4 linked regions of the Struthio camelus genome follow. The main gene of each other region encodes a partner of the protein of the gene in region 4 in a complex. Links are inferred from orthologs where the notes say so. Each region holds a gene or a part of one and is shown on either strand. Other genes may lie near its edges.

The links.
Region 1: NUP153 (region 4) and NUP85 share a complex: the UniProt entries of both Homo sapiens proteins name them as parts of the nuclear pore complex. The link is inferred for Struthio camelus from reciprocal best matches to the Homo sapiens genes NUP153 and NUP85.
Region 2: NUP153 (region 4) and NUP160 share a complex: the UniProt entries of both Homo sapiens proteins name them as parts of the nuclear pore complex. The link is inferred for Struthio camelus from reciprocal best matches to the Homo sapiens genes NUP153 and NUP160.
Region 3: NUP153 (region 4) and NUP107 share a complex: the UniProt entries of both Homo sapiens proteins name them as parts of the nuclear pore complex. The link is inferred for Struthio camelus from reciprocal best matches to the Homo sapiens genes NUP153 and NUP107.

Annotation. Positions count from the first base shown.
Region 1 is NC_090960.1:8,208,598-8,216,409, reverse strand, and holds the start of NUP85 (nuclear pore complex protein Nup85), read right to left. Parts: upstream 3,010-7,812; 5' UTR 2,939-3,009; coding exon 2,906-2,938; intron 2,810-2,905; coding exon 2,716-2,809; intron 2,520-2,715; coding exon 2,357-2,519; intron 1,984-2,356; coding exon 1,913-1,983; intron 1,493-1,912; coding exon 1,449-1,492; intron 598-1,448; coding exon 528-597; intron 1-527. Other genes in the region: uncharacterized protein, read left to right, coding at 3,305-3,437, 4,406-4,518, 6,799-6,870, 7,125-7,323. UniProt on the Homo sapiens protein: Essential component of the nuclear pore complex (NPC) that seems to be required for NPC assembly and maintenance. As part of the NPC Nup107-160 subcomplex plays a role in RNA export and in tethering NUP96/Nup98 and NUP153 to the nucleus.
Region 2 is NC_090946.1:5,690,225-5,697,506, forward strand, and holds the start of NUP160 (nuclear pore complex protein Nup160), read right to left. Parts: upstream 3,011-7,282; 5' UTR 2,978-3,010; coding exon 2,775-2,977; intron 2,629-2,774; coding exon 2,418-2,628; intron 869-2,417; coding exon 646-868; intron 261-645; coding exon 182-260; intron 1-181. Other genes in the region: PLEKHG3 (pleckstrin homology domain-containing family G member 3), read left to right, coding at 7,096-7,282. UniProt on the Homo sapiens protein: Functions as a component of the nuclear pore complex (NPC). Involved in poly(A)+ RNA transport.
Region 3 is NC_090942.1:40,445,306-40,453,140, reverse strand, and holds the start of NUP107 (nuclear pore complex protein Nup107), read right to left. Parts: upstream 3,008-7,835; 5' UTR 2,895-3,007; coding exon 2,887-2,894; intron 1,230-2,886; coding exon 1,144-1,229; intron 1-1,143. UniProt on the Homo sapiens protein: Plays a role in the nuclear pore complex (NPC) assembly and/or maintenance. Required for the assembly of peripheral proteins into the NPC. May anchor NUP62 to the NPC. Involved in nephrogenesis.
Region 4 is NC_090943.1:99,955,731-99,962,804, forward strand, and holds the start of NUP153 (nuclear pore complex protein Nup153), read right to left. Parts: upstream 3,017-7,074; 5' UTR 2,952-3,016; coding exon 2,862-2,951; intron 2,679-2,861; exon of another isoform or gene 2,388-2,678; coding exon of another isoform or gene 2,319-2,387; intron 1-2,318. UniProt on the Homo sapiens protein: Component of the nuclear pore complex (NPC), a complex required for the trafficking across the nuclear envelope. Functions as a scaffolding element in the nuclear phase of the NPC essential for normal nucleocytoplasmic transport of proteins and mRNAs.

The sequences.
Region 1 (7,812 bases), on a different chromosome or scaffold from region 4:
TTAATAATCTACATTTGTGAACCTCTCATCTGAATTCAGGAACTGAGTAGATAGCATATGTTTGCATACTCTGATCATTTCCTTCTTTAAAGTGCTGATATAAGCAAACTGAATTCAAAGACAACATCCTAAAGTTAAAGGAGTTGGACCAGAGAATGTGTGTTACCTGATATCACCTTACACAGCTGATACTTAAAAATGTGTTTATGCTTAAAAGTCAAATAAAGTGACAACAAATGTTGTTATCACTGTTCTCCATTATATTTTTGCAAAAAAAGCCAATTCATAGTTTATTAGGTGTGAGGGGAAAAAAATAGAAGACAAATCTAACAGTTTGCCATAATTCAAGATGTAGAAGACAATTTGCCAAAGCAGAAAAGGTATTAAAGAGCTTATTGATACTTGTCATTAATATTTCCAAAAAGATATTAAGATATGATACAATGGATGCTATACACTTTTTAAACAAATGAATAGGCAAACAAAAAGCCCTTCAATTTTAACATCAAGGGTAGTTCACTGCTCACCTACAGCTGCTTCAACAAACAGGATCTCACACAAGTTCCAGATCAGCTCCATCGCAGAAAGAATAGAAACCTGAAAAAAGCAGGGACGCGTTTCAGACTTAGTAATTATTACAATAGTGTTCTTTTTTTTCAACTGCACAAAGGCATTTACTGCCCATAGCAATTGCTCAATTCAGCTTGGTTCTTAGAGACAAGAGAAACACGCTACTTATATTTTAGAAATCTAAATTAAAAGACAGAAGCAGGCCACAACTTCTCTATTCACATTCACCTTAGAAAATACTGCAGCGGTTTGTGTATTCAAACACAATAATAATCTGTCATTAGTGGGAGATTAAAATAGCAGAGGAACTGTTATTTTCAGCCTCTTTGCGCTCCTAAGATTTAACGTTACAAACAGCATTCATTTTTGTTTTATAAAAATAATTTACGTTTGCATTTGAGATTGCAAAGAAAGGCCAATTAAGCAACATCAGTGCTGCTAATAGGACAATGCTTCTGTGAGCGCTGTTCTTCCCACAACATTATTCTAGAGTCTGAAAGTCCACTGTGTACTTCCAGAGCTTGCTACAAGGCTCAAACATAGTTGTTGGGAACTTCAGCATTTGAGAAGTGAGGTTTCAGCCAGGTGAGTACTGGCCCACAGCTGGATTTCTTAGATGGCAAGAAAACATCACACCTGTAAGGCTGAATACACATTTAAGAAATGGCAGTATATCCCAATGTTGGGCATCTTTTTACTGTTTTAGAAATACAGGTGCTAACTATTTATACCCATGTATTCTTGCTCACGTACTGTATTCAATACACTAAGCCAGAGCTGCAACTAAAACGCATTACTGCAACAGTGTCGGCCTTGACGACTTTGCTAGCCAACGGTTCCTCTTCAGTTGTGACTGTGCAGACATGACTGCGGATTACCTGAGTACTATACTGGCTGTGCAGGGCAGGGTCCCGAGCTGAAACTGAGGGAAAAATAAGGAAGGTCACAAAACAACGCATTTACCTTCTTTCACCACCCTTTACTGATAAACAGTCCTGGTCACTCACCAATCATAGCCTTAGATGAGTACATGCCTGACAAAGGATAACCTTTTACATCTCTTTGTAATTTTTTTCCCACAAATCTGATATATTTACAGGACAAGGATGAAAGGGAGGAGTAACATTTCTCACTTTTTTGGCAGCAAGCTGCTAATTTGGCCCGTTTCCCATAAAACTGCAACCAGAGAGATGAAAAGGAAGCAAATTCCCCCCCCCGATCAATTAAAACATAGTGCAAAAAATCTCAGTAAAGCAGTACAACTTACAGTTGCATTGTTATTTTTACACTCACAGATAGCATTTCTTTTTATCACAGTAGGAAAACAAACAAGCAAACTTACCAGCTGCCTGGTGCATGTCCTCCATACAGGCTCTTATGACCGAGCGGTAGTTTTTACTCACTTGAACCAATCTGCCAAGCATAAAAAGACCACGTTTAGGAAGAGCTGTTTGAGTTTTAGGTCTTTGGCTGTTGTCTGCTAAAGTTTTCTTTTGTCTGCAGGGTTTTTTTGCGCGAGTAGATTCTTCCTCTACTTGGGCAAAGCTGGTGGAAGGTGGCAAGGCGGGAGGCGCTGACTATATACACGCTACGCACAGGTAAAGGCCTTGCGCAGCAGAGCCTCAGGGCCACGCTGTGTAAAATTGTCCCCCAACAGCTGTTTATACTGCACTGTTATCGCTGATTGACAGCGGCTCTAAGTAGTGCAGGTTGATCGTCCCTGGAGGCAGACGAAAGAACGAGGACGACCTTTGTTCTCAGCACTTCGAAACCACGCTCCACTCACTGTGTTTTCCTGGATTTCCCGGCGAATTCTTCCTCGCTCCTCTGGAGGCCGATGAAGATGCCGTGCGACTCGTTGAAGAGCTTGCGCAAGGTCTGTACGTAGATGTCTTGGTCCTTGCGGACGACGAAGACGCTGGAGGAGCTCGGCCGCCCCTCCACGGCTCCTGCCGGCGTCCGGTCAGAGCCGGGGGGCCGCCGCCAGCGGGTCGCGCCGGCCCCCGGGCAGCGCCGCGCCCCGCCCCGGGCTCGGCAGCCGCTGGCGGCGGCCGGGCCTCCGCGCAGCCCCGGGGAGGAACCGGCGGTGCCGCCCGCCCGCCCGCCCGGCCTCGCCGACGCCAACGGCCGCGCGCCGGCACCCACCTCTGCCGCCGAAGAGCGTCTCGCACACCAGCATCTCCGCGGGGCCCCACTCGAAGCACAGCTGCCTGGCGGCGGAGTCCACGCCCGGCACCACCTGCGAGGGCACAGCCGCTGCGTGAGAGGCGCTCGCCGCCCGGCCCAGCCCGGCCCGGCCCGGCCCTCCCCCGGCCCCGCGCCCGCCCGCCCGCACCATCAGCGGCGGCTCCGCGTCCGGCTCCTCCATGGCGGCGGCCGCTCTCGCCTCCCGCCCGGCGCGCAGGGCCCCGCCGCGGCTGCCCGCGCCGCTGCCTGCGCCCGCCCGCCCGCCCGCCCGCCTCCTTCCCGCCTCCTTCCCGCCGCCGCGCCTCCCGTCAGCGCTGCCCGCCCCGGCGAGGCGCCGGCCGCCGCCGCCGCCGCCGGGGGGAGGGAGCCCGGCCGGTCTCCGCCGGTTTGGGGCAGGCGCTGGCCGCTCGCCCCGGAAGCGCGGCCGAGCTCCAAAGGCCCCGCGGGCGGGAGCGGGGCGGTGCGGGCCGGGCCGGGGTGGGGGGAGTCGCCCTCCTGGCGGGGGGCCACCGCGCCGCCCGGGCGGCCACTGCCTGTCCCGGCAGCGATGACTGAAACTGGCCCCAGCGCAGTAGCGCAGAGGCAGAAGGGGCCTAAGGCAGCGCACCGGGGTGAGCTTCCCCCCCGCCCCGCTCAGGGGCTTGCTGCGCCTTTTCGCCGCCCTCCCCGTGCTGCTGTGGGTAGGTTTTCCCCGAACCTCGTACCTGCCCGCCGTATTTCACGGTGGGGGGGGCGGAAGGAAGCTATCCCCGTGCCTCGTGATAATCGGTTTCTGTTATTTCTTTACGCGCTTCAAACACTTGCAGACAGATGAGCCTGCAGATCGCTGCGGGTGAGGCTCCCCGGAGCGGAGTCGCAGGAGCTCTCCGGCAAGCGCTCCGATACAGCCGACTAATCGGATTTCTGTGCCTTGCTCCTTCGGCTGGGCCCAGCAGGTTAGAGAAGGGCTGGTAGTGAAGCGTTAGATCGATCGTAGTGGGTGGAGGGGCAGTGCTGGCAGGCGGAGAAGGATTCCCGCCTTGCCTCTGTGCCTCATTCCCATACCTGGGGTCACAAATTTTTTTTTATTTTTCCCCTGCTGTGCCTGGGAGTTAATCCCCCCTAGAGACTGGGCACGGTTTGCCTGCTGAGACTGCTGGAGTTTAGTGTGATCAACCCCCTGCTAGCTCTGGGGGCTCAAGTGCCGGTGGAGTTGAACTTGAGTATACCTGAAGAACTTGCTGTGGGAATCATTAGCCATGTGCTGTTTCTTTCCTTCCATTCTGCTCCCCTTCCCTGTCTCGGCATAATCCTCACTTTCTGCCTCCCCCTCTAAGAAGCAAACTTGTTCAGTGATATTCTTTTTAAGAAAAATCTTTAATGATGCTACCTTGCTAAACTCATAGCTGGAAGAAGCTAGCCCCTTTAATGCTGGGGCTTAATGCTTCCCAAGGAAGCTCACTGAGAATTAATTTTTCAAGATAGCTTTAATCATTCACTGTCCTCGTATGACAAATACTGCAACACCCTACTGCTAAATTGCCTTTTTTTCTTACTTTATCAGCACCTGCATCCATCATTTCCAATAAAAATAAAGCTAGCAGTTATCTTTGGTAGGAGCATGTTGCCACACTGATCCTGCTGCCAACAGGAAGCGGTGTCTCTTCAGGTCAGTCAGGAGGGAGGAATGGCCTGTTGTCGGGTAGAAGAACTGAAATCTTCAAAAACCTGCTCGAGACTCTAAGACACATCAGTTTTAAGAAAGCTCTTCCTTTATTCTCGGTAAGATTATTATATTTTGGCAGAATTTAGGGATGTACGTGTGTTTGAATCGCTGCTTGTACATAGTCAAGTTTGCCTGCTGTCTTACAAAATGGTACTGCTCTGTGCTGAAGACTCTTGAGAATATTAGCGTTGGAATAATCTAGATCCAAAATATCCTTCAAGGTGTTACTAAAATGACTGCTGATACAAATCAAAAACCGGATGTTTGAGAGTTCAGCTATAAGTGCTCTTCTGTCACCATCCTTCAAGGATAGGGTTCTGCTTCTATAACTGCGTCTTTTCTAGTGACTGTTTGAAGATTTCATATTGCTTATGTTACCAGCCAGCGCGCAGGAGAAAAGCGAAGAGCCCACTGCTTCTATGGGCATCGTAATTAAAAGCCGCTAATGAATTACAAAGAATACTGTAGAGTTGGCTCTCTCTTTTTACTTGAAATCTGAGGCTTGCCTAACAAGTGAGATCTTTGCAGGAAGGATGGGAGTTGCTATTTGTTTTTCCTGTAGTGAAGCTAAGGAGTTGTCTCCACATTAGTTTGTTTGAGTATCAACCAGGTATCAACTATGACAGTAGAATCTGCGGCTTTCCTAGGGGCGCTTCAGTACACGGGGCATCCCTGTGTTCATTCAGTGACTGTGCTGTGTCCGTTTTCTTGTTTCCCTTGTATCCTTTTCTAAACACATATCTCTGTGGACCGTTCTGTGGGGAACCACAGCCTTATCCACAGAGAGAGGGAGCCAGAGAAGTGGGCGGTCAGCCATTACCAACTATAGCTTACCTTGCCTGACAACCCTAGGGAGTGCCCATCGGTCTCAATGGTCTTTATTTTTCTCTTCATCAGCATGGGGAGAGAGGTGTTGATGACAAGGGGGTGGAAGATCTAGAAGTGAGATAGTGTCCTATTCTGCTCCAGAATCCCATCCTGTGCAAAGAGACACTAAAAGCTGGTACAGAGTAGCTCTTTGGTCCTCTGCTACATTCTGTAAAACCTCAGTTGGCACATACAGTCTGCTTCGCTCGCTAGCTAAAAATTAAAATATTTTTTCATGTCTACAGCCTCTAATGCTCTTGAACTGATAAGGAAGGTGGTTGATTTTTGGGGATGTCAGCTTGGGAATGGTGAGTTTTAGTATGAAATCTTGAAAACTCCAAGCCCTCCTTTTAATGCTGGCTGGAGGTCCACATGTATCTAGAAGGGAGCCTTTCATCTGCGCCTTATCAAAATGGCCTCTGCCTGTCAAGTTCATGCAGTTAAGCAGAACTGGGAACCACTATGTCAGCATCAAACTTCATATGGCTCAGAAAGACTTCAGAGTTTTAGAGTGCAGGCCATCAGTCCAGCCAAGGAAGGCAAAAGCAAAAAAAAAAAAAATTGCCTTGCATTTTCTGGGGGGAGGGTGTGGAGGAAGAAAGCAAAAAAAAAAAAAAAAAAACAGTGCCTGAGAAGGAGGAGAGTTAAGTTGGAAAACAGAAGGTTCAAAAGCTATTTTTTGAGTTGGGGCAGGGAGAGAAAGATCGACATGAACATCGAAAGCACAGAACAGGCAAAATATATGTTCTATTCCGGGGGCTAAATTAGCGTTAAGGAAGAGGAAGGCCTGAATAGGCCACTCAGACTTAAGAGTTCAGGTTGAGAAAGCAGATTTAGTCCTACTTTGTTACTCATGCCTTCAAATAACCTTTTTTTTTTCTATTCTTGCACTAAATTAATTGCTAAGTAATACACAGTTTTGAATGAACTGGAATTGCTTTTGTAGTCTTATGCTTGCTGATGTGAAGCAGCACAAACCCTCTGCTTGCAGCTATGTTAATATCCGAAAAATCTTAATGTCTTAAAATCTCAGCGTCAAAGGGGACGTATGTGTTGAACACCCATGTTCCCTACTCAGGTTTCTTCAACAGAAGGTGGAGAATTAAGCCCAAGTGTTCTGCAAGATCTAGATACATTGTATTTCTTCCTTATCAATCTGCTGTACAAAAATAAAACCAGACATGGAAACATTTATGAAACGGCACGTGGAATTTTCTTCCTGGAGATGGAATTTCTCTGGAATTCTCCCTGTGATGCTTCCCCATTCACTTCTTTTCAACTCTGTGCCTTAAAGAGGAGGAGCTCTGAGAGACAAAGAGCTTTGCCTTTGCCCCCCTCTGCTGTGGCCTGGACCTTGCAGGACTCGGTCCTTTGTAGTTCACAGTGTGGCTTCTCCCCTGCCGCTTGCTCCGAGTGCTGCTGTCTAGCCTGTTATCTTTGCATTTTTTTATCACTCTGTTTATTCTTAGCTGAACTGGATCACCTGTATAATGCGAGTTTCCCCTGTTGCTATGTGGAAAGAAAACCCATCTAAATATGAGGTTTGTAAAAAAACCTGCTCTGTGACTGGGAATCTGTGTGATTAGTGGCAAGGCACACTATGGTGGTATAGCTGAAACAGGTTTTAGCTTATCTTTTTTTTTTTTTTTGAGCGTGTATAATTTCTGCAGAGGTAGTGAAATCCCATATGTTTTCATGAAATCTAGCTTATTTTCACGTCTCCTTTGAATCAGATTTGTTCTATTCTGGTACTGGCCTTAACGTATGTTCAACTTAATGTCGTTCCTGTGTTCAGTTCTTTCATGCTGCTCTCAGGCAGGCCTTGACCAGTTTCACCCTGCCTCCTCAAAGCCACTCCCAAAGAAATCCTCCTGGACCTGCAGCGCACAGGTCTTTGAAAAGGGAGGTGGAAGAAGTGGGGAGAGTGCAGAAGAATGAGACCATCAAGCAACATCCGCCTTGTGGCACCCTTCCTCGCAGCGGTTGCTCCTCTGGTTGTTGCATCATTTCTATAAATAGAATTTAAGATCCTTTGGGAAACGGCACTTTTCCTTTGTTCTGTAGCGTGCCCAGTAAATTTTGAGTCTTGCTTAAACAAGCTGTGTACAAAGGAGAAGAGTTAGAGGGGGTTTTAAGATGCTATATTTCTTTCTTCTCTTGTATAGTCCTGCTTCCCGGTGGTGATAATGGACTTTAGGAGGTAGAAATGGTATTGCCCATTGCTCATGAAAGCTAAAATAAAAGGTGAAGGGAGGTTGTAGGAGACTGGTACGCTGCCAGACCGTGCAAGGAGAATTTCCACAGAATCCTGTAGTGTTCTCTAGCCATAGGTGCTTCTTGCCTACTGGTAGCTTTAATAAATACAAAAACAATAACATGCGTAATTAAATGCAGAGAAAGCAGGCAGGATACACTGATTGGAACACTCTTTGGATGGTAAGTCAAGGAAAATTACACAGGTAGGAGTGGAAAGAGCGGCTCAA
Region 2 (7,282 bases), on a different chromosome or scaffold from region 4:
AGTCCCAACTTCAGCACTGTGCTGGATCCTGTGACCAAGTTACTCAACCTTTTTGACAAAGTATTTATAGATGCTGACTCCTTCGTACTTATCTTTGATTTCAACTAGAAACACTAAGGGTCTCCATGTGAGGGAATAAAAAAAAAAAAAAAGTTCCATTTGTTTGTCACCAAACACTAACCTGATGGCAGTTGGCATCCAACCAGTAAGGAAACGCTGCATCACTGAGCTCTGTTTGAGTTCCACGATTGAAATTGTTCCTTTCAAAAGAAAAAGTAGTATTAACAAATATACCGAGTACTTGCTAACAAGAGAATATACTTCCACCAACAAAGGACTTCACAGATCTGATGTAGAAGGGCACATGGGTGTAGCGAAATTATGAGATAAACATGACAAAAATTGAAATCAGCTGAAGTCCAAAACTAGAAGAGGGACGTTACTGGACAGGCTGAGATGTACCAGCACAACTGCAAAGACCACAGTGACACACACACACACACACAGAGCATATCCTAAAGCATATCCAGGACGGAATGGGTGTTTCTGTCTAGACAAGGCTATTTGTTAGCGTGCAGGATAACACTAAACCGCGCTCCATAAAGATATAGATTTATGAAGACACAGCCTGTTCCCACTCCTTACCAGGTGCATCGTGAGGAGGCAGCTTAAGGACAAAGATTCCTCCCGAAGCAGAGGGTAGAGCAAAGAGAGCCTCTCCCTCACTGCTAAGCCAAGCCGCTGAGGCAACAGAATTAGATGCTAGGCCTGGCACGTTGGGAATCATGTAGTAATTTGAAGGATCTCTGAAGTTGACTTTGCCAATGTCTGTAAACACGGACTGCATTTGGCTCTCTGTTATCAGCTCCTGGAAACGGGAAACAGAGAAAGGAGTACCAATCCTCAACACACACACACAGCCACAGAAAAACACCAGTGGAACGACACTTGCAACTCTGCTACTTTATAAAAAGGATCTTTCTGGTAAGACCTCTCTGCTCACCACCACTTTTGGCTTCCCTTACGTTTAACCCATGACCATTTCTCTTTAAGAGCAGAGAGTGAAAGGATTTAAAAACCTGTAAGTTTCTAGCAGAACGCTCTCTCCCTCCCTGACATATGCTAACATCCCCAAAGGAGTCCTGCAGTCCTACTTCTATCGGCTGCTGTGAGAGAATTCATAACAAAACATTGGTAACAGGTCCCAGAAAGAAAGCAGCTCTGCAAAAGCACAGCATCACCGCTTGGAAATGCTCTTTTGAACCCTAAATGCAAGAGATTATGATTTCTCCAAGAGATACCCAGAGGTCACACCAGGATGGATACATGCAACGTAATTTTTGCATAAGATCCATCTTCCACGTGCAACAAAAAGAGATTATATACCTTACTATTTAAACAGGACAAGTTACACACCCGCCCAAGCCGTCTTTCTCTGAACTGCTCAGTTCCTACCTCCAAATACCATTTTGGCCCCTGTGTCACGATGCCTAGCCTAAGACCTGCAAAGAGCAAATACAACACCAGAACAAATACACGCGCAGCAACCATAACCAAAGGCTAGAGACAAGCAGGATGAGGAGCTTGCCAGAGTGACACCAAGCCACTCTAACACTATAAATATGGAAACACTGTAAATCTTATTCCAATGACCAGTGCCTCATCCATGCACGCAGTCTGACTAAATTCAGCTCTACAGGAAGTGAGAGATTCCTTGATTTTTCCTCCAAACTGACAGATACTTTTTCCAGCAGTTTTCAGTTCCACATAGAGATCTACCTTGCACTGATGAACAAACTTGCTGTATTTGGCCAAAAATTAGAGGACTTGTGAGTTTAGCATTTTATAACATCTAAAAAGCAGTTCAGCTAGAAAAGTTAGGAGGTCACTTGAGTAAGAAATTAAACCACTAAACTAAAGAGACGTCCCTAAACTGACACTGCAGCTCTGCGCCTCTGGAAACACCAGAGGGTTCCAGCACAGGATACAAATCTTGATCACACAGCTATGAAACAAACTAATTTACTAAGAAGAAATATTCAGACTGCCGTGGATCTGTGTGCCCAACTCCAAAAAGCACAGGAAGAGCTCTGCTTTGTATTCGTTAGCAATCTAGCATAAATGTTTCTATACCCAGTCAGCCCCTATGACCCAGGCATGACGACCGCAGTGTGGCGTCACCAGGTTTGCAGGATGCCCAGCAGCAGTGCTGGAAATACCACGACGTCCCCACCTCGATGGGAAACACCCTGAGGTCTTTGCTATCTCGCTACTCATTTAGGTGCTGTCCTGAGGGCTCCCGGCTCTGCATACTTGCAGGACGGAGCCGGGTGCCTGGCATGGCAGGAGGCCCTGGAAGCACCTGCACGCCATGCCTACGCACAGGACCTCCGGGAGAGGCAGGTGCCGGTACTCACGCTGCGGTACATGCGGGCAGGGTGCGGCAGGAGCAGGCGGTGCACGGTCTGGGCAGTGGCGAGAAGGATGACGAGGTGGCTCTGCACTTCGCACACGTGCACGCCGCCCGGCAGCAGCGGGCAGCCCTGGATGCGGAGCCGCACGGCGTTGTTGAGCAGGTTGATGTCCAGCGACTCCTCCACCAGCTCCACCTCGTCCCCCGACGTGGTCCTGCGGGCAGAGCAGGGAGGGTATGGGGAGAGGCGCGGGGGCCCAGCTGGCGGCACTGGAGAGGCCCAGGCCCAGGCCGCAGGGCGAGGGCAGAGGCCGAGGCCGCCGGAGCCGGGGGGGGGGAGGGCGGGCCCGGCCTCACTCACCAGCGTATGAAGCGGTTCCTGGTGACGGCGGCGAGCTGGGCGCTCTCCTGGTAGCAAAACCCGCCGGCGCTGTCGCCGTAACGGCCGGCGGGGGCCGGGACGGTGCCCGGCGGGCTGAACACCACCTCCCGCACCCGCCGCGGCGGGCCCCGCGCCGCCCCGCTCAGCTCCAGGCAGCTCCGCTCCGCCAGCGCCGCCGCCATCTTCCGCTGCCGCCGCCGCCGCCGCCTCCTGCCTTCCCGCCCGCCCGCCGCGCGGGGCATCACGGGAAAGCGGCGCCGCGGGGCACCACGGGAAGCGGGCAGAACGGGGTGGGGGTGGGGGGAAGCAGGGGCCGAGGCAGGGGGAGAGGGGCTGGGAAATGGGGAAGGGGGTCTGGGAGAGGGGCTGAGGGAGAGGGCTGGGTTAAGGGACCTGGGGGAGAGGGGCTGGGAGATGGGGGCTGGGGAGAGGGGCCAGGAGAGAGGGGCTGGGTTATGGGGCCTGGGGAAGGGGGCCAGGGGAGAGGGGCTGGGGAGAGGGGTGGGTTATGGGGCTTGGGGGAGAGGGGCTGGGAGATGGGGGCCAGAGGAGAGGGGCTGGGGAGAGGGGTGGGTTATGGGGCCTGGGGAAGGGGGCCAGGGGAGAGGGGCTGGGTTATGGGGCCTGGGAGGAGGGGGCTGGGGAGAGGGGGCCAGAGGAGAGGGGCTGGGTTATGGGGCCTGGGAGGAGGGGGCCAGGGGAGAGGGGCTGGGGAGAGGGGTGGGTTATGGGGCCTGGGAGAAGGGGGCCAGGGGAGAGGGGCTGGGGCCTGGGGCAGAGGGGCGAGCGCAGGGGGGAGAGGTGTTGGGATATGGGGTTTGGGGAAGGGGGCCAGGAGGAGGGGGACCGTAGCCGGGGAGAGGGGTTTGGAGCCTGGGGGAGAGGAGCCGGGACCCACAAGATGGGGACGCGCCCCGGCGTAGGGCTGGGCGGGAGAAGGCACGGGGACGCGCGCGCCGAAACGCCCCGTACGCCCCTCGCGCATCCGGCTGCGCGGCGCCGCTGCGGCAAGCGCCGTTTGGTTTGCTGCGGGGTTCGGGGTCGAGTCGCGCGCCCTCCTCTTGCCGAGCCTCGCCGGGCAAATCGCCCAAGCTCCGCCGCTGCGCCGCGCGGGCAGGAGGCCCGCGTTAGCTTGCAAATCGTCCGCTGCTAATAACAGATGCAAAAAAAAAAAAAAAAAAAAAAACCCAAAAACCCCCAAAAACGTTTTCGGCGGGCGGGGCGAGCGCGTAGCCTTCATCGCGCGCCCCGGCCTCGTCCGCGCGGGAGATAAGGCGCGACCCTTCGCGCTCCCGCTTTGTCGAGGGCCGCTCGAGTTTCAGGTAGAAGCAAATCGCTCGTCCCTGGGCGGCGCTCGGCTTGTCCCGCTCCCCACGAAAGCTTTAAACCCGCCCGGGGGTGGGGGGGGGGGTCTGAGTTGGATCCCCCCCCCTCCCCTCCCCGCCACCCCTATAACACCAGGCTGAGCGGGAGCTGAGCTCAAGGGCAAAGGGACGGCTGTGACCTTCGGGAGGTTGGGGGCGGGACAGGTGGGGGGGGAGCAGGCATGATACCACGGTGATGGGCGCCACGAGGAAAAGCACTTTTGCTTTTGCGAAAAAAAAAAAAACAAAACCAAAAATGCGCTTTTGCTCGAGCCGGGAAAGGTGGGTGAGCGCCCCCCCCCACCACCACCACCACACTCCCAACACCTCCCCGGGGGAGCTGGCACTGGGGGGGGGGGGTCAGAGGGAGCACGAGGCCCTGAACAATCCTGCCTTTGAGCGGGGAAGGCGAGAGCGCGGCGCCCGGCGGCACAAAGCCCTCTGTCTGCCCGCCGGCAGAATGGCCCCATTCTAGCGGTGGCAGGTGCCGCGGGGCTGCTCGGTTGGGCACCTCGCCCCCTCCGGGTCCCCCCCACCCCCCGCCCGGGGGGCTTTCGACTTGGCCCCCTTCCCGGGATGGAGCTTCCTCCTCGTCACCCCCCCCGCCGTCATGCTCTGGGTAGCGGCAAGGGCTGTCGCAGCACCCACCTCTGGCCCCGGGGGACGTGCCCGCGCCGGTGGCGGCTCTGGTGGGGCACCCCGCATGGACGGGGATCTTGGCTGGGTGGCCGTGTCCCCCGGGGCGGGGACCCCGTCTGGGTGGCCGTGTCCCCTGGGGAAGGGACCCCAGTGAGGTGCCTGTGTCCCCTGGGGAAGGGACCCCAGTGAGGTTCCCACGTCCCCTGGGGAAGGGACCCCAGGGAGGTGCCCATGTCCCCTGGGAAGGGACCCCGTCTGGGTGCCTGTGTCCCCTGGGGAAGGGACCCCATCTGGGTGCCCGTGTCCCTGGGGAAGGGACCCCAGTGAGGTGCCCGTGTCCCCTAGAGAAGGGACCCCAGTGAGGTGCCCGTGTCCCCTGGGGAAGGGACCCCAGTGAGGTGCCCATGTGCCCCGGGGAAAGGACCCCATCTGGGTGCCCATGTCCCTGGGGTGGGGACCCCAGTGAGGTGCCCACAGCTCGGGGCAGGGACCCTGTTCGGGTGCCCACGTCCCCCAGGGGAAGGGACCCCAGTGAAGTGCCCACGTCCCCTGGGGAAGGGACCCCAGGGAGGTGCCACATCCCCTGGGGTGGGGGTCCTGTGTGGGTGCCCACGTCCCCTGGGGCGGGCAGGGACCCCGGTGGGACGCCCGAGCCCCTAGAGGCACCCCCGCGGAGACGGCCGTGGGTCCCCCCTAGGGACACGGCCAGGGTGCCCCAGCCCGGGTGGGTGCCGGCACCGCTTCCCCCCCCCCCACCCTCGCTCCCCACGGGACCGTGTCCGGGACACCATAACCGCGACAGCGCCGTGTCCGGTACCGGGGCGAGGTCGGAGCGGCCCGGGCGGGGCGGTCACAGTCTCCGCCTCCCGCGGCTCGTTCGTCCGCCGCTTCCTGCGGGCACGGGCACGGCCCGGGCGGCGGCGGCGGCGGCGGCGGCGGCGCGGGGTGAGTGCGGCGCGGGCGCGCGCGCGCGCGGGGCGGGGGGCGCGCGGGCGCGCGCGCGCCCCGAGGGGGGCGGCGGTGTTGGCGGCGGCGGCGGCGGGCTGCCCCGCGGCGTGGCCGTGGGTCGCGGCGGGGCCGGCGAGGGGTGCGCCGCCCCCCCCACCCCCACCCCCTCTGCTCGTCCCGACGGTGCTGCGGTGGGACGGGTCGTTCCCACCCCCACCCCACTCCGCGCCCCCCACGTCCACGCGGCGGGATTAAGCGGCTTGGGCGGCCCCCGCGCGGGGTGGTGGTGGGGGGGTGCAGCTCGGCTCGACGGAGCCGGCCGGGTGCCTAACGTGGGGGTGACCCCTCGCCACCCCCCCCCCCAAACCACCACCACCTCTGCTTCCGCCCCCCCCCCCCCCCCCCCCCCACGTCCGGGACGCCTCGGCCCTGGGACCGGCCGGCCGTCGTGGCTCTGCCAGGGCGGCCGGGGTTGGGGGGGGGACGGGGCCGAAACGCCTGCTGAGCGGCGATCCCCCCCCCTCCCAGCCACCCCACAACGCCCCGTCTTATGGGGCTGCTCCGGCGGGATCTCCGTCCTCCGGCCCCCAGCTCGCCGCCGCCTCCCTTCCCGCTCCCGACCCACGGACAGGCGTCGAAGGCGGGAAGCGCCCGACGCGCCTCGCCGCGGGACGGGGCCGATCCCCCCCCCGCCCCGGCCGCCCCCGTCTGCCGGTGACGTCGGCCCGGCTCCCTAAATCCCCCCCCAGGTCGGCGCCTTGAGCCGATTAGGCCGGACGGCGACCCGCCGGCGGCCTTCTCCTTCGTCTTCCTCCCGCCCAGACGGCACCCACCGCCCCCCCCCCCCAAAATAGGGGAACGGACCCCCCCCCCCTTTCCCCAACCTCCCGGTAGGGCCCGAAACGCCGGGGAGGAGCCGAGGCGAACCGGCCTGACCGGTTGGCGGCCCGGCACCCTCGAGGCCTCTGCCCGGCGGCGGCGCCCGCCTGCCCGCGCTCCTCCTCCTCCTCCTCCTCCTCCTCCTCGGGCCGCTCGGGGGTAAGAGGGAAGGGAGCCCCGAAAGGCGGAGGTGGAGAGAGGGGGGAGAGCGCGAGGTCACCCTCGGGTCTGGCCTCCGAGCGCCTCGGGCCTCGCCACGGCCCGGCCGGGGTCCGGGGCCTGGAGAGGGGTGGGATCCTCTTCATCCCCCCCCCCACCACCACCCCCCTTTCCTCCCCAAACGTCTGGGGGCCTGACGTGCGGCGCCCCGCGTCTCCCCGCAGGCCGGGCCGGCGGCCCCCGAGATGCCGACATGCCGGCGGCCACCCGGCCGCGGCGCCTGGCTCTGAACCCCGGCCGCCGGCTTGGCCATGGAGGAGGCGGCCGGAGACGGGTTGGAGGAGCGGGCCGGCGGGCCGGGCAACAGGAACAACAACAACGCGTCGCCGGCCAGCTGGCGGGCACCCCGCGGCGGGCGCCCGGCGGCACCCCGCGGCGCCCGTCCCGGCTACCTGGAGCGGGTGGTGCTGGAGATCGTGGAGTCGGAGCGCACCTACG
Region 3 (7,835 bases), on a different chromosome or scaffold from region 4:
TCACCTCTACCCAGAATGACTGTGAATTCTTGGAAAGAAACAATCTTTGTTGTAGCTAAAACATTATAAGGAACATACACCTTTTCCTTCAAGTTTAGCAGGGCTAAAGCAGAAAGTCTCATTTAATAAGCTCAAATAAGCCATGAAATACTTCACCAGAAATTTAAAAGCTGGAGGGCTGGAGACACCCCAAAGCAAAGTTCAGAAACAAGAGCACGACAGGTCTAGGACACCTTGCTTCTCACTAACTGCTTGGATCAAGGAGAATTATCTCCCCTTGTAAGGGGCTGCTGTATCCAATATAACTCATGATCAGCAAATCTGAGACTGTATACATTAAAAAAAAAAAAACAAAAAAAGCTATCCTGCTTTCTTTTCCAGGACACTGATGACTTCCACAAAAACATCTCTCTTGCTCTACTTTGCCTCTTCCTCTCAGTTAACTAACTTCAATGTTCTAAGCACGGTTTACTAACAAGCAGTAGTGCAAGAGCTCCAGCGCCCTAAGTTATGTCAGTGTCTAAGAACGTCATGATTCTGAAGGACAACAATAATCACAGCCAATACCTTGCCAGTTTTATTCTTTTTACAAAAAACAGAAGGATGAAATGTACTGGATTCCTTTGCTATCATAATCAGAAAAATATAATTACACTAGCTGCCAAATCGTATAATATTTTTTGCTATCGTAAGTAAGTTAAAAGAAGTTCTGTAGAAGTTTATATCTATGCACGTGCACTTCTCTTGATAATACTGTGGGTGGGAAGCTAAGACACACTGAACAAACAAAATACTCAGATAAAACAAAACACAGGTTAAAGAGCATAAGAACATAAAATTAAGATATAATGGAGTGAAGAAAGCTCAAGGATGGAGTCAGCTATGGCTCACGTAGATCTCTAGGCTGAGGTCAACCTGAGTTCATAAGCCTATGAAAACAGTAAAATACTGGGATACCTAAATGTGCCAGCACAGGTTTAGAAGGAAGGTAATGCACATGCACCCATATCTAGCCCACAATCTAAATAATCACTGCAAATACAGTCAAAGATCAGCTGCATGTGTCAATATACTTGTGCACTGTGAACATAGCAAGCAAAGACTAAACAGAAGATTAAAAAAAACTATACAGAAAAAGGATACTAGAAACTCTTTTCTGGGAACTTTGTTTTCGACAAGGTCTGGCCATCTCGGTATCACAGGGGGATGACATGTCTCCAAAATCATTTCTATAAAACAGCAATAGAAACACAAAGTAAGCAAACTGTTCCAACAAAACATAATATTATTATTATGATGTTACTCTCTTCTGGCTAATCCTTCCTTTCAAACACTAGTAACTCCATAGCTTGACTCAAAATCCCAGTTGACAAGGTAATGACACGTTTCAAAAACAGACCTTTGAATTGGAAGGTCTACACTTAGCCAGTAGCAACCTTTACAAAAAAAAACCACCAAAACACCTCCCTCCCCTCCACAACTTTATTGTTTCTTATTCTGCTGGAGAAAGAAACAACTAAGGATACAAATCAATTAATCCTTTAGTCCCAAAAACGTTGTGCAATGGGCACAAAGCACTGTAACTCTTTATCCAAATCTTACATAAACGTAGCCTAATACTATTCCGCTATTAACTCTGAGACATTAGGAAAAAAAAGTTGCTTCAGATTATTCCGTTTTTAAGGATGGATTAAGACTTTCTTTTTTGTGCAACTCCACAACTGAGAAATTGAAAACAAAGCCATGCTAAGTCATTGCTAATTTTAGTATAGCTATCCAGTTTCTCATACAGAACATTTAGTATTGCTCATCAGCTCAGGAAAAGTAGATTGGCTTTTCTGAAAATCCATATGTTGTTCCTCTTACATGACAATAGATCCTTTCTTTAAATAAAAATAAAAAAGCAAGAAAAATCACGACAGTGTGAAATTCAAAATTTAAACTGAAAGAATAAGATGATTTCATCAGGTTTTTTTTTCTTCAGATGCACCAAATCATCACAGATTGAGAAAGTCCACATGCATTACAGAATGGGAAGAATTTTGGCAACAATAATTAAAATGCGAATGAAAAGATGTGATGAGTGGTTTTTGAAGAGCACAGCTGCAGCTGTCTAAGCAGACCTTTCTGAAGAACACCTTGCAAAGGCCCCACTAAGTAGTGTTCGCCTAAATAACAATTCCAGTTTAAACTAAAAGTATACTACAGAAAAGAATAGCTGCTTTTAAAACTGTCAAGCGATATAAAAATATTCTACATCCCTAAAAAGCTGTTCCACCAGGTAATAAGTATATTCCTCTAGCTGCAGTTAGATGGAAAACGCGTTTCCAACGTATCTACTCTGCTACGTTAAAACCCTTCCTCATGTATTTCCTCCTCTACGTGAACAAATCACGTCCACCTGCTCTAGTGCACAACAGAACACGTTCCTCGATATTATAAGGGGTTATGAAATACTACTTAAGCGCAGACTGCTTTTGTAGCCTTTAAAAAAAAAATTTCCAAATTTGTCTAGATTTTTTTTTTTTTTTTACTCCGTAAATTAAGTTTCTGGGCGGGACAAGCCATTCCTGTTGTTGTCTTACTACCCGGACCCCGAGTGGGCGCGGCTGCGTCCCCGCTCCTGCGTGGGCTTCTCGCGAGCGCGACTCGCAGCTCCAGCGCCGCAGTCCCTCACCCTGCGCAGACGACGCCCGGCGGGGAGGACACGCCGCCACAGCGGCGCCGCCAGACACGGGCGAGAAAGAAAGGCCGCGTCCTCGCCGCCGCAGCCGCGCGTGGCCGCGGCAGCCCCGCTTCAGGCCACGCGCCGCCTCCATTTCGGGCGGCCTTCGCGCTCCCGCCTCCCCACGGGGCAGCGGCCGGTACCGCGGCGCCGCCACCCACCTCTCCATAACGGCCGCTGGCGCGAGCCGACTCGAGCGTTCCCGCCGGCCCGGCCCGGAAGGTAAAAGCGGTAGTTCCGCCCCAGTGGAGCGACGCCGGCCGCCTGCGCATGCGCCGGGCGGGGGGGGGGAACTGCGCATGCGCGCCCCCACGGGGAGGGGTGGAGCAGTGGATGTGCTAGCGGCGGGACGTGCGCGGCGGCCGTTGGCGGGCTGGACCGGACGGGACGGGACCGAGGGAGCCTCGCCGGTCCCAGAGGTGTCCCCGTAGCTGCCGTAAGGCTGCCTTGCCGGTAGCTCTGCGAGCTGTGGGATCCTGGAGAAAGCGAGGAGAAAAAAAAAACTTTCAACCTTTTAAACGCTATTTAAGTTATCTCATTCCGTACACATAGACTAACGGGACGTTCGTAAAATAACGTGTTTTTCTTACCACCTTAGCTAGCGGCGTTTGCCTCCCGCTCTTTGCGTTATCTTAGGCCAAAGGGGTGGCTGCTCCCCTTCCCCTTCCTCTCCAGACCGGCCAGCTTTAAGGGGCAAAGAAATAGGTACCCTCAGGGATTATTCAAACCTTACCGCCGTGGGCAAGTTAACCAAGCTATGAGGTGAGTTGTCCATAACCGCCTCTCCCCTCCCTCCTCAAGGGCTGGCTCACAAACTTCATGAAGGCCAGAATTTTCCGTGCTATAGCAATACAAATACCTGGATGGTGCTGGCAGCAGTTCATTCAAGTGTGCTCTAGTACAAGGAAAACTACTCAAAACAATGCTGTTAAAATAGCCAGGCAAGCACTGAAAAACCTTTGCAAGCGCTCAGCTGCACGCAGAGCTACAATTACAAGGCATTTTCAAGAAATTGATCAGGCATTTAAACTCCTCAGACAGCGACTAGTGAGCAATGCATCTGAAAACAAGAGCTGCAAAAGGCAGCAGGACTGGGCAGACAGCCCCTGCTGGACATCCAGTCTTGGTTTCCCCTGAAGCTGCTGGAGAGCCTAACCTAAAGAGGCTCCACAAGAAGAGGAAAAGCTGGCAGTCCGGACGAAGAGCGGCTGTCCAGGAACAGAGGCAGCATGAAGACCCTTAGAGAGCAGATGACTCACCCAGAAACTGGAGTTTTGGATGGAGAGGGGGGAAAAAAAAAAAAAGGCAAGACTGACTGAAGTTGTATCATGTAGACTATCATGTCAGGCAACAACCTTTGCTACAGAATATTAAGGAACTATTATCCCAGTTTGATACTGCTACACATTCAGTACATTTTGGTTCTCAAGAGCTCTTCACAAGACAGCGTAGCATTACTATCTCCATACTGCAGTAGGAGACTCAAGCAGAGCAGTGCACAAACTCAAACCTGGTTCAATTTTCTGCATTGCCACCAGCTCAAACTCCCACGCTAGCCCTTTCTCAAGGCAGAAGGGACAAGAGAGAATGAGCGAACCTGAGGCGATACATAAAAGTAGTAAAGCAATGCAGAACCTAAGAGATGAGAACAAAGCAAAAGCAGCAAGACTCAGGCTGAAGGGGACTTTTTTTTTTTTTCTTAAAAAAACCCACAAAAGTAAAAGAAAAGATTTGGAGGCCTTGAGAGAACTTGTCTTAGTATACGGCTTCTTTAAATACAGGCTAGGGGAACCGCCTTAATCTTCAACTTGGCTCCAGAAAGAATAATACGCCCTCTCCCCCAGTCTGAAGTGTGTTTCGGGGGAGGTGTTTTTTGACTAGTGTAGGAGGAAAAGAAAAAAGATAGGGTGAAAATAAACCAAAACAGTCTCTCATGCAAGCATCTCACACTCCCAAGGAACAGAAGGGAATATGAATTTACCAGTCCATTGTTACATATAACGTGTGTCTTTAGCCTGAAATATACAGAACACCCCAAATTTATAATACTAAAGTTTATAAATCCATCTTGTGTTTTACATATTTACATCAACACCGATCCTAACAGCACCCATGTTGTCAGGATATCAAGAGGACTGGTAATGCTCCACAGTTACAGGCAGGACTAGTGAAAAAAACTCAGCAGCAAGCACTGCTAACACAGAATCATAGCAGGTTTATCACCCAAAAGTCCTCTCTGTCCCAACACTATAAGGGTATTAGACTACTAGCTTTATAAAAAAAGTTAGTGTTTACTGGATACACTAAGTTAGAGTAAAGTAGACTAACTTAAAACTCAAATTACCCTTTACAATGCATGTTTCTATATAGTCACTTCATCAAAATAAATTACCTCAGTGTACTGTGAAACTGCATACACGATACTTGCATATCCAAAATTCAACATTCTTAACACAGTTTCTTATGCTATTGCTTTTGATAGTTATGAGTTAAGTATGACAGCAGCAAGAGTACATTAGCTGAGCTTTCTTAAGTACAAAAAAAACCCCATGCTACTTACATTATGTCTTGTTTCTTGTTATGAGAATGAAAGAAATCTCATGTTTTAGCCCATCTTCTCCTAGTTCAAACGTTCCTGGAAGTGCCTAATTCTTCACAATTTTTTTTTAAAGCATAAACATTTTTTTTTCCACTCTCAAGGTTGAAAGTGGGCATATACTTGCTTGTATTAAAATGCCAATGTTGACTCTCAAATGACAGCTGCCTGAGGGACTCCTAAATGGATTTTGACTCCTGTGCCTACTCTTATGGATGGAGCTCAGATGAATAAAACTATTAAAAAGGCAAGAAGAATAGACAAGTAGGTGTCATTTTACTTGTGTCTGAAAATCATGATAGCAGTGCCAAGGGACTTTGCTGTATTTGGCACCTCACAGGCAGTGAGTCCCACTTAGGAGAGTTAGGATTTCAGATGCAGATTTTTATACTCAGGATGTGACTGAAGTTACTAAATCCTCCCTGCTAGATCTAGAAGGAAAAAAAAAAAGAAAACAACACATATTATTGAAAGATAAAGTACACCAACCAAAGGAGGAACTAGAATTTCCACTATAACTGCAGTTTGAATCCAAGATTGGAGAAAACATTCCGAAGGTTTATGGTAGGAGAGGGGGAAAAAAATTTCATGAATTACAATTTCTTTCAGTTGAGTAGTCTACCCCAGCCACAATCCTGAAGGAAAAACTGTGTCAGTGAACTTTCTTGAAACATCAAAGCTGTAGAACTGTTAGAAATGACTAATATTTCTTGAGGCTAAAGTGATTCAGTACTGATTAAAGTGTTTTATTTTATTGCATACAGTGGAATTATGAAGACATTCTTCTCTCCATTCACCCTCTGCTTGATGATTCAAAATTCTGAAGATGTTTGCTTTACCCTTCCTTTTTTGAACTCTGAAAGTATGTTTGAGGCCCAAATGTCAACACTGAGAACAAAATAAGAATACAAAACATAACTTTGCTTATATTTCCAGACTGAGAATATAAAGAAAAAAATGGAAGTCAAGTACCATTCCAGAGTTTGGCTTTATATAACAGAAGTTAAATTAGGTTTTAAGAATCAAGTTGTTCAAAAACTCTCAAAAAATGAAAGCATAGGGTGCTCGAGACTGAGAAATAAGACCTTAATTCAATTATGAGTTCTGCTTGTCTAATGTTGCCTTAGAGAACCACACACAGTTGTACTTTGTTACATATTTGAACAACTTTTGCTTTATTTTTTATTCTCCTGCCCATACACAGGCTAAATAAAAATAGTTATGGACTGAAGTACAGCTTGATGCTGCTGGGGTAGCAGCTTTACCATGGAAGTTTACAAAGCTTCTTGTCTACACTGATGCTTAGCTGCATCTTTGTATTACAATTCAAAAATTAAGAAGAGTTACAGATAGCTGCACCACTTTTGACAATTTAGGTCAAGGAATAACTTTCTCTTGTTGATAAGTTTAAACTGAAGCTTATCTAGAATGAGTTCACTATTGTGGCAGAATTTCTCCCCCTCCTTAAATTAACCCCCCAAATTGGCAAGGATTAGAAAATTTTAGAAAAATCCATGACTTGGTTCATCCACAATTCATTTCGCTTTTTAAAAAGAAGAAAATCCTCATCTCTGGTCTTCACCCATGAGAAAACAGCAACTCTAATTACACCAGAACCAGAGAGAAATGCACAGCTTTAATCAAAACTTCAGCAATATTCTCCTCCCACCTCCCCCTTCTAGCATCACAATATCACAGTACATATTATGAAACAAACTTAGTATCTAACTCTACAGTACTTTTCCACAAGTTCTCTTATGTTCTCTTCTGCAGAGAATAGTAGTAGTTTGAGTTTACAGTGCCATTCATTTGGGCATCTGAAAACATCTTGAAAAGTCTTAAGTATTACTTTAAGATAAGCAAGTAGACATTCGTTTTACAGAATAATTTGAGAATGAAGAATAGCATTAATACCAATGTAAGGGATAATAAATTTGCACTGAAAGGAAGAAGTCCTAATGGGAAAGAGTGCAATTCACTTAAATAATACTTTTATATTTCAGGGCATAAACATAACTTTTTCCACAGAAAGCTCAGACACTCGAGATATTGACAAATACCAATTTCAGATTAGGGTGGAAATAAAAACAGTCACAAACTTTGTGTGCACTGTAAGCATAAACTAACTTTACAATCAGTAAGCAGCAATACATAAGTATAGCACTGAATTTGGAAAATTACTGCGTTAATTTGGATAAAATATGAATTATGTATGTTATCATCCAGAGCTTTAAGTAGAACCATATCTTTTTGAAGGACCAAAGTAAACTAATCACTCTAAGAGGCATGTTTATGAGTAAAGAACATTTCTCCTCCTACTCATTTGAATATAAGTAGGCCTGCCTGCATTCTTCAGTTGTTCTTGCTTCAGTATGGACAACGTTCTGTTTCTATTGAAGTAGCGGAAGTATAAACCTCTTAAGCTTTGTACACAAAGCACTTATCCTCAAGACATTTAAAAATGTGTTCAAAAATTTCAGCAGACTGGAGTCTTTTCTAGAAGTGGTTACTGTT
Region 4 (7,074 bases):
TGCCACTTTTTTTTTTTCTTTTAGTAATAGATCTATAGATAGTATTCACAGTCCCTCTTCTATGTAAGAAATATCATGGTTCAGTTCCCATCATTAATGGAGTGGATTTGAATCCATATCTCCATTTCCCAGAAAAAATACAAACGCTACAAGTCATAGTCATATCTTGCAGACAGCATCTTTTCACCTGTCCTACTTGAGGCTGATTCTTAAAAGGTAGTACTAGATTAAAAAACAAAAACAAACAAACAAAAACATAAGGATGCATGGCTCTAAAGCTTAATGGTCAGGGCATTTGGGAAGAAGGAGCAGGAAACACCAGGCTTGGCATCTCTGCTCCATGAACTATCTAACATAAAACAAGTAAGTTCTGAGAACAAGGAACAAAGCCTACATGTCTCCCCGTTCTTGAAGAAGCACCCCAATCAGCAGGCCAGAGGGCAACATTTTCTCACATACCCTCTTTCTGCCTCAATGAATCATGCATTCTTTTTCTGGATAGTAAACCAGCTTCAGTCAAAAGAACGAAAGACAACATACAGCTTGGCAACTAGGATATTTGCCTGGAAAGTAGATGATGTAGGTTGATCCCTCAAGGCAAAAAAGGAAACTAAAGCAGGGTCTACCACATTCTGAACAAATGCTTTAACTGCTAGTTGTTATATAGCAGCAAGCAGCACCTCCTCTTCCAACTGTCTTCTAAAGCTGTCACCGTATTTTACAGAAGACTGATTTTGCAGTACATGTTACGTATGACCAGAGAATTACCACCTGATCAAACTCCTCAAGAGATTATGGCAAAAGAACAACAACCAGAAAGCAGACACCATGATGCCTAGGCATCATGGCAACCATCCCTCATACGAGTGGAAAAAAAAAAAAAAATCAGATATCCCGGGAACTTTAAAGCTACTAGCTATACTGCCTACAACCTTCAGATAATTTCAGAGTTTGATGATAAGAGACTGAGGGTTTTCAGGACTCTAATTTTGACCACAAGCACCTAAAAAAGGTCTGTCAACAAATTTCCACAGGCTATGATTCTATTTGCTGATAAAAGCAGCGGGATGAGGGTCAGGACTAGAGGTACAGCATCATGTCAAAGTTGCACTGAACACTTTCATGTCTTCCGAAACTCACTACAGAGAGACAATTAGTATTAAATCACAGAATACTTCTGCAGAGCAGACATTGTACTGAAAACAAGAACGCTTGTCAATCACTACAACTTAGGTTAGCTATTTACCCAGACGCTCATCTTCTTATGTAAGTTAACAAGCCGCACGTGGTTAAAAAGCTATTCATGACAATAAATGCACATACCTAACTTCTCTCAGTTTGCCAATTTATTAAATCATTACAATAACTCTCTCTCCAATGCTTCACTGTTAATCTGATTTATGTATTCAAGTTGCAGCATCCAACCCTCTGAGTAGAATCCCACAGATATCCCTAATCATGTGTTTGCTTTGGCACACTATTTAAATAAACCTACTAGAAAATGCACAAAGATAACAGACAACAGAAGAGTTAGAAAACCATCTAGTCTGTAATTACTTCAGATTAATGTGCCAGGTTTATCTACACAGTATGAACACATGCAAGACATGGCACTTTCAGTAATATTCCGTCATTCGCGTGAAACGTTCAACATTTGCTCTGCACGTGTAGTGATTCTTTTGTATTCAGTGTCTCTATCCTAGCTTTATAGGGACAACCTTGCTTATCAGTATACTACATATAAACCTCAAAAAAATATAGTACTCCTCAAAATAAGAAAAAAATGAGTAACAATTCACGCATAATGCTCCCTCAGTTTTCGATATAATACTCATTCCTGTAGCTACTGATAAGTTACTAAGTTACTGATTTAATAATGCAAAGGTTTTGGCTGAAGAGCCCACTTCAGGTTCACATACACATGCGAAGGCATATCCAGAGCAGTGTTTCCGGGCCTCTTGAAAATTCTTAGCAAATAGAAATCAGGAAGCATTTCTGCATCTCCCTCTCCAGCCACTAACTGGTGTGGGATTTTCGTGGTGCAGTGTACAAACTAGCTTTTGTTATCCATCTACTCTATCCTGCAATAAAAAGGAGAACAAATGCCTCATGAATTACATTTAACTTGCGCTGCATCAGCACATTTAAGCACAGGCAAGAGAGACAGGCAAGAGACTGAAGAAATTACCAGATGCAGAACTGAGGGTCCTCCCAAAAACCAAACCTGAAGATGAATAACTATAGCTTCCCTCACAAACTGATTTGCAAGATGGGCTGGAACTTGTGCACAGGGCAAACACTGGAAGAGACGCACTTACATCCCTCAGTTTAACTAGAAGGGGGCTCCTCTGCAGAGCCGCGTTTGCCAGACGGCGACCCCAAACCATTCCTCCTGGTGTCTCTCCGAGGGCGATCAGAGAGCGCGAAGACAAAAAGAGGGTCGCCGAGGACAGGGGCCAGCCCGCTCCCGCCACGGCGGGGCGAAGAGGGGCGGCCGCCCCTCCCCGGCCACCGCGGCGGCACCGGCCGCCTCCCGCCTCTATTTCCTGCCGAGCCGAGGCATCTCCTCCCTCCACCCGGCCGAGCCAGCGGGGGGCAACGAGCGAGCGACGGAGGGAAGGCAAACAAAAGGGGCAGCGCGGCGCTGCGCACACGCGGCGCCCCGCGGGCCCGGCGGCGGCCGCTGCCGCCCGCCCGCCCGCCCGGAAATCCCACAATGCCGCTGCCCCGGCGGGAAACCCCTCCCCTGCCCTCCCCTGCCCGCTCCACCGGGAAACCCCGGCCCGGCCCGGCCCGGCCCGGCCCGACGGGGCCGCCCTCCCCAGGCCGCCGCCGCCGCCCGCCGCCGCGCCGCGCCTCACCTGCTTACTCCTGGCGTAAGGCGGCTTCGCGGCGCCCAGGTGGTACCGCCGGGTCCGGATCTTGCCGCCGCCGCCGCCGCCCGAGGCCATGTTGGGATCCTGCCCCCCTGCTGCCCCGGCCGCGCCGCGCGCAGCGGGCCCGGCCCCCGCCGCCTCGTGCGGCCCCGCTCCTCCCCTCCCCCCCCACCCACCCCACTCCCCCCGCCCGGCCGCCCTCCCCCGCGGCGCGGCTCGGCGCGGCCCGGCCGCCCTCTCCCCCCCCCCCCGCCCCTCTGTGCTGTCACCGTCTCTCTAGAGACGCGCCCGGCTCGGCCTGCTGGCGGCTGCCGCCCGCCACGCGCCGCGCGGCCTGCGCGGGGGCTCCGCGGCCTGCCCCTCCCCGCCGCGCCGCGCCGCCCCCCCCCCCGCGCGCTCTCTCTCTCCCTCACGCGCGCGCGCTCTCACTGCCCCCTTCCCTTCCCCCCACCCCCGCCGCGCGCGCTCGCTCCTCTGCGCTCCGCTTCCCCCCGCCCGCTCGCGCGCGCGCGCCCTTTGCCTGCTCCGCGCTCGGGCGCCGGCCGGCCCCGTCCTGCCCGCCCGCCCGCTCGCGCCGCCGCCGCCGAGCCCCTGCACCCCTCCCCCCTCCGGCCGACCAACCACACGGCGCCCGCCCGTCACTGGCCCGCGCCGCGCGGCCTGCGTCACGCGAGCGGGACGGCCCGGCAGCCCTCGCTCGCTCCCCGCCCCGGGCGCTCTCGGGAAACGTAGTCCGCGGCGGGGCGGGGCCGGCAGCGGGAGAGGAGGAGGAGGAGGAGGACGCGCGGAGCCGGGCGCCCCGGCGGCGCCCGTCCTCCTGCGGAGCGCGGGGGCTGCCTGCGCCGGCACCCGCGAAGGGCGTGAAAATCCCCCCAACTGCAGATGAGCGAGGCCGAGAGCTTCGGAGTTTCAGGCGCCAGGTTCGCGCTGGGCCGGGCAGGGCCCGCGGGCCGCGGAGCGACGCGCTCCCCCGCGGGCTCCGGCCCTCGCGCAGGGGGAGGCTCGCCGGGGCCGGCGCGGAGGCTTCCCTCCGTTAGTCCCAGCGAGCAGGCGAAGGGACGCGTGGAGAAGGTGGAAAGCGAGCTTGAAAAACAGGAGGGGAGGAGGGAAGGCGGTGTGACTTCAGGACCCCACTACAAACTGCGTGTAAGCAAGAAAAACAGCAATCTCCAGGTTTAATGTCATTCATTTTTGGCTAACAGGAACCACGTGAAAAAAGATAAGCTTCAACCTAGCTTTCTCTACCTCAAGACAAGATGGGTTTTCATTACACGTTGGAAACATGTAAAATATTTTAGTTTCTTATGAAACTTTATGCTATGAAAAGTTAAAAATTGAGAAAGATCTATGGCTCTATGCCTTATTCGGTGCACTGATGGTGCACTTATTTGGCCCACTCTGTTAACAATGGAGCTGAGCAGCGACTCTCAACCACTCAATGTAAAAGTCAATGAAAATGTTTCATCACCCAAAACGCAACACAGAAGGCAATAAAAAAGTTTTTCTCGTGCAGTGATGTAGAACAGAGACTGTGGTCACTGAGTCTATCACAGATACTCAACAATGAAAGACAGACCCATAATACAGTATTTCACAACCCCTTTCACCCATCTCCACCAAAAAATAAAAGCAGTCATCACAGCAAACACCTTAAGAAAAACCTTATCAAACTCAAGGGTTTAGGAGAACTCCCACCAGTAAGGGTAGTTCTGAAGGCCTCAAGAAAAGCAACCCAGTGGCAGCAGTCCTTGCTTTTAGGAGGAATCTTACTTGGGATTTTTGCACCGTAAAGTCTTTGCTTCTTGCTTCATATTGGAACTTTTCAACCTTGCTGGTATCTTCCCAACTCTCTGGCTTTGCCAGCTCTCAGTCCACTTATTAGTCCTTAGTCCTGCCTTCATGGTCATCCAGATCAGATGACACTTCTGAAATCCCAGTGGAGTGGAATTACTTTCTAGGTATTTCTCCCCATAAACCGGACCTGCAGAACTCTGGTCTCTTCCTCTCCTCCCCTACCAGTATAACTACAGTTGTGTGTCCAGTAGGATGCTTTATGCCAGCCAGGACAAGGAACACATGGATTTAGAAGGCACCTGTAAGAACCACCTGATCTCTTGTAAGCTGCTAGTGGATTACATTTGCAGACCAATTCTACTGCAAGGCTCTATTTCCACAACATACAGGTCAAAAAAAAGTTTATAGCAAAATAATCAAAAGAGATCTACATCAGTATCATCAACAAAATACAAAGAAGGTAACATGTTAGCCTGAATTTTTCATTGTTTTCGCCAAGGAATCAATTACTGCGCTAAATTGCGCTTCTGCTAGGAGAAGGGTATCAGGACAGACTTTCATTACGGGAAGAACAAGCTTCACAAAGGGATAAAAATTGTGCCTTTTAATAACGGTCATTTATCAGTAGTAATGCCGACTTCTAAAAGCCTATCTGCACAAAGATTTGACTAAAGTTACTCCTACAGTGGACACTCTTAAGAGATGCTCCATTTTAAAATAAGATTCTCTTTCTCATGTATGCTAAGTATATTAAGAGAACCTGAAACAAGGTTTCCTCTTCCAGATGAGCATCCAAGGCAGCTACACTGCAACTTTTCTCTGTAAATTCATATGCTACTTACTTTACTTACATTTTACTTATTTAGAACAATTTCTATATAGTGACATGCACTTAATGACACTTATTCAGAAATGCTTGCAGGTGTACTCAAATGAACAATGTCTATTAACATGAGTCACTGGAGTTGAATAAGCATCGTTTAAAATGAGCCAAAACAAAAGGCAAAGGCAAAACAAAAAAAAAAATCCAGCGGAATGAGAGGGATCATCAGCATTTGATGAATCTTCCCTGTGAGTTAGATCTGCAAGTTTACTTTGAGGTAGTGCTAGAAAGAAGCTGTTGGTCCAAGAGCATCCTGCAAAAAGAAACAGTAATGGCTTAAGTAACTCTTTACCCTTTTTGTCCTGTTTCTTTTTCCCTGCTCACAACTGTAGGATCAGTAACCCCTCATACCACTGTACTAAAGCCATTCTTTTCAGAGCAGGGATAGGAAACGTTAAAACCACTGTTCCAGAAGAAACCAGCAAATCTTGAGTAAAGGCACTGTCTACTGCAACTAGGTACAATGAAAAAAGTTTATGAAAGTATTCCTGGATAGTCTTACAAAACACTTTCATTAAGCTTGAAGAAAAAAAACTTTCATATGGATAAAATGGAGACAAAACAAAGAACCAGAAGCAGTGAGACATGGTGGTGTTGAAAAAGTTGCTTCTAAGTTTTTTTGTTTGTTTTTTAAGGAAAGCTCCCACTGCAATCACATATTTGTGGAACTGATAGCAGACACCCCTATGATGCGTTCAAGCCTTTGTGTAAGCCAGCTAATATGTTGGTAATTGTAAAACAGCTGAAAGTTTGTTAGCGAGTGTAAATTGTGTGAGTGTGGTGGCTATGGACTGAGACTGTATTGAGGTTCATATGCAGTGGTGCTGTCACTGTCAGACTAAGTGAAATTACATAGCTACTTGGGCCCCACATTACACAGTTCGCGCATTATGGATCAAACTCTCAACGGCCAAAATTCAGCATAGATACTCTAGAGCAATCAGTCAGCATTCCTAATGGGCCAACACATATTATTGGATTTTTAATTGATAGCACAGAAGATTTCCACAGACTACTTACTGGAATGTAACTGCAGTGTTAAGCAGTACTATGCAAGCCACTTCAAGCAGCACGTAACTCAGGCACAGAGCTGGAAGCTGCCCTCCTTCCTACGTATCCTTGCTGCTCATGGTGATAGCACCTACTAGCTTCAAAATCCTTTGTGCAGCAGAGCAGCTTTTAATACTAAGCTCAAGCACCACAGCTATGCGTTAAAGTTGGCATCAGAAGTTCTTCCAGGCTTTCAAAGCTTAACACTCCCATTCAAATTCAAGGAGCTTACATTTACCATCTCGACAGTTCTCCCCTCAGTCTCCTAAAACAATTCCATACATGCATGCAGGCAATCCCTTTCCTACCCAGTCAGATTCTCCTCACCCCATCTATTTCACTTCCACCTTCCAGCAAATTCTCATAAACGTGTTCCTCACCATCACCTGTCAAAGACTCCCAGTTCACACAGTGGAAGTGCCCAACAAATCCCTCTTCCCAGCTACCTGGCAACTAGCTCTTCCCAAAAAA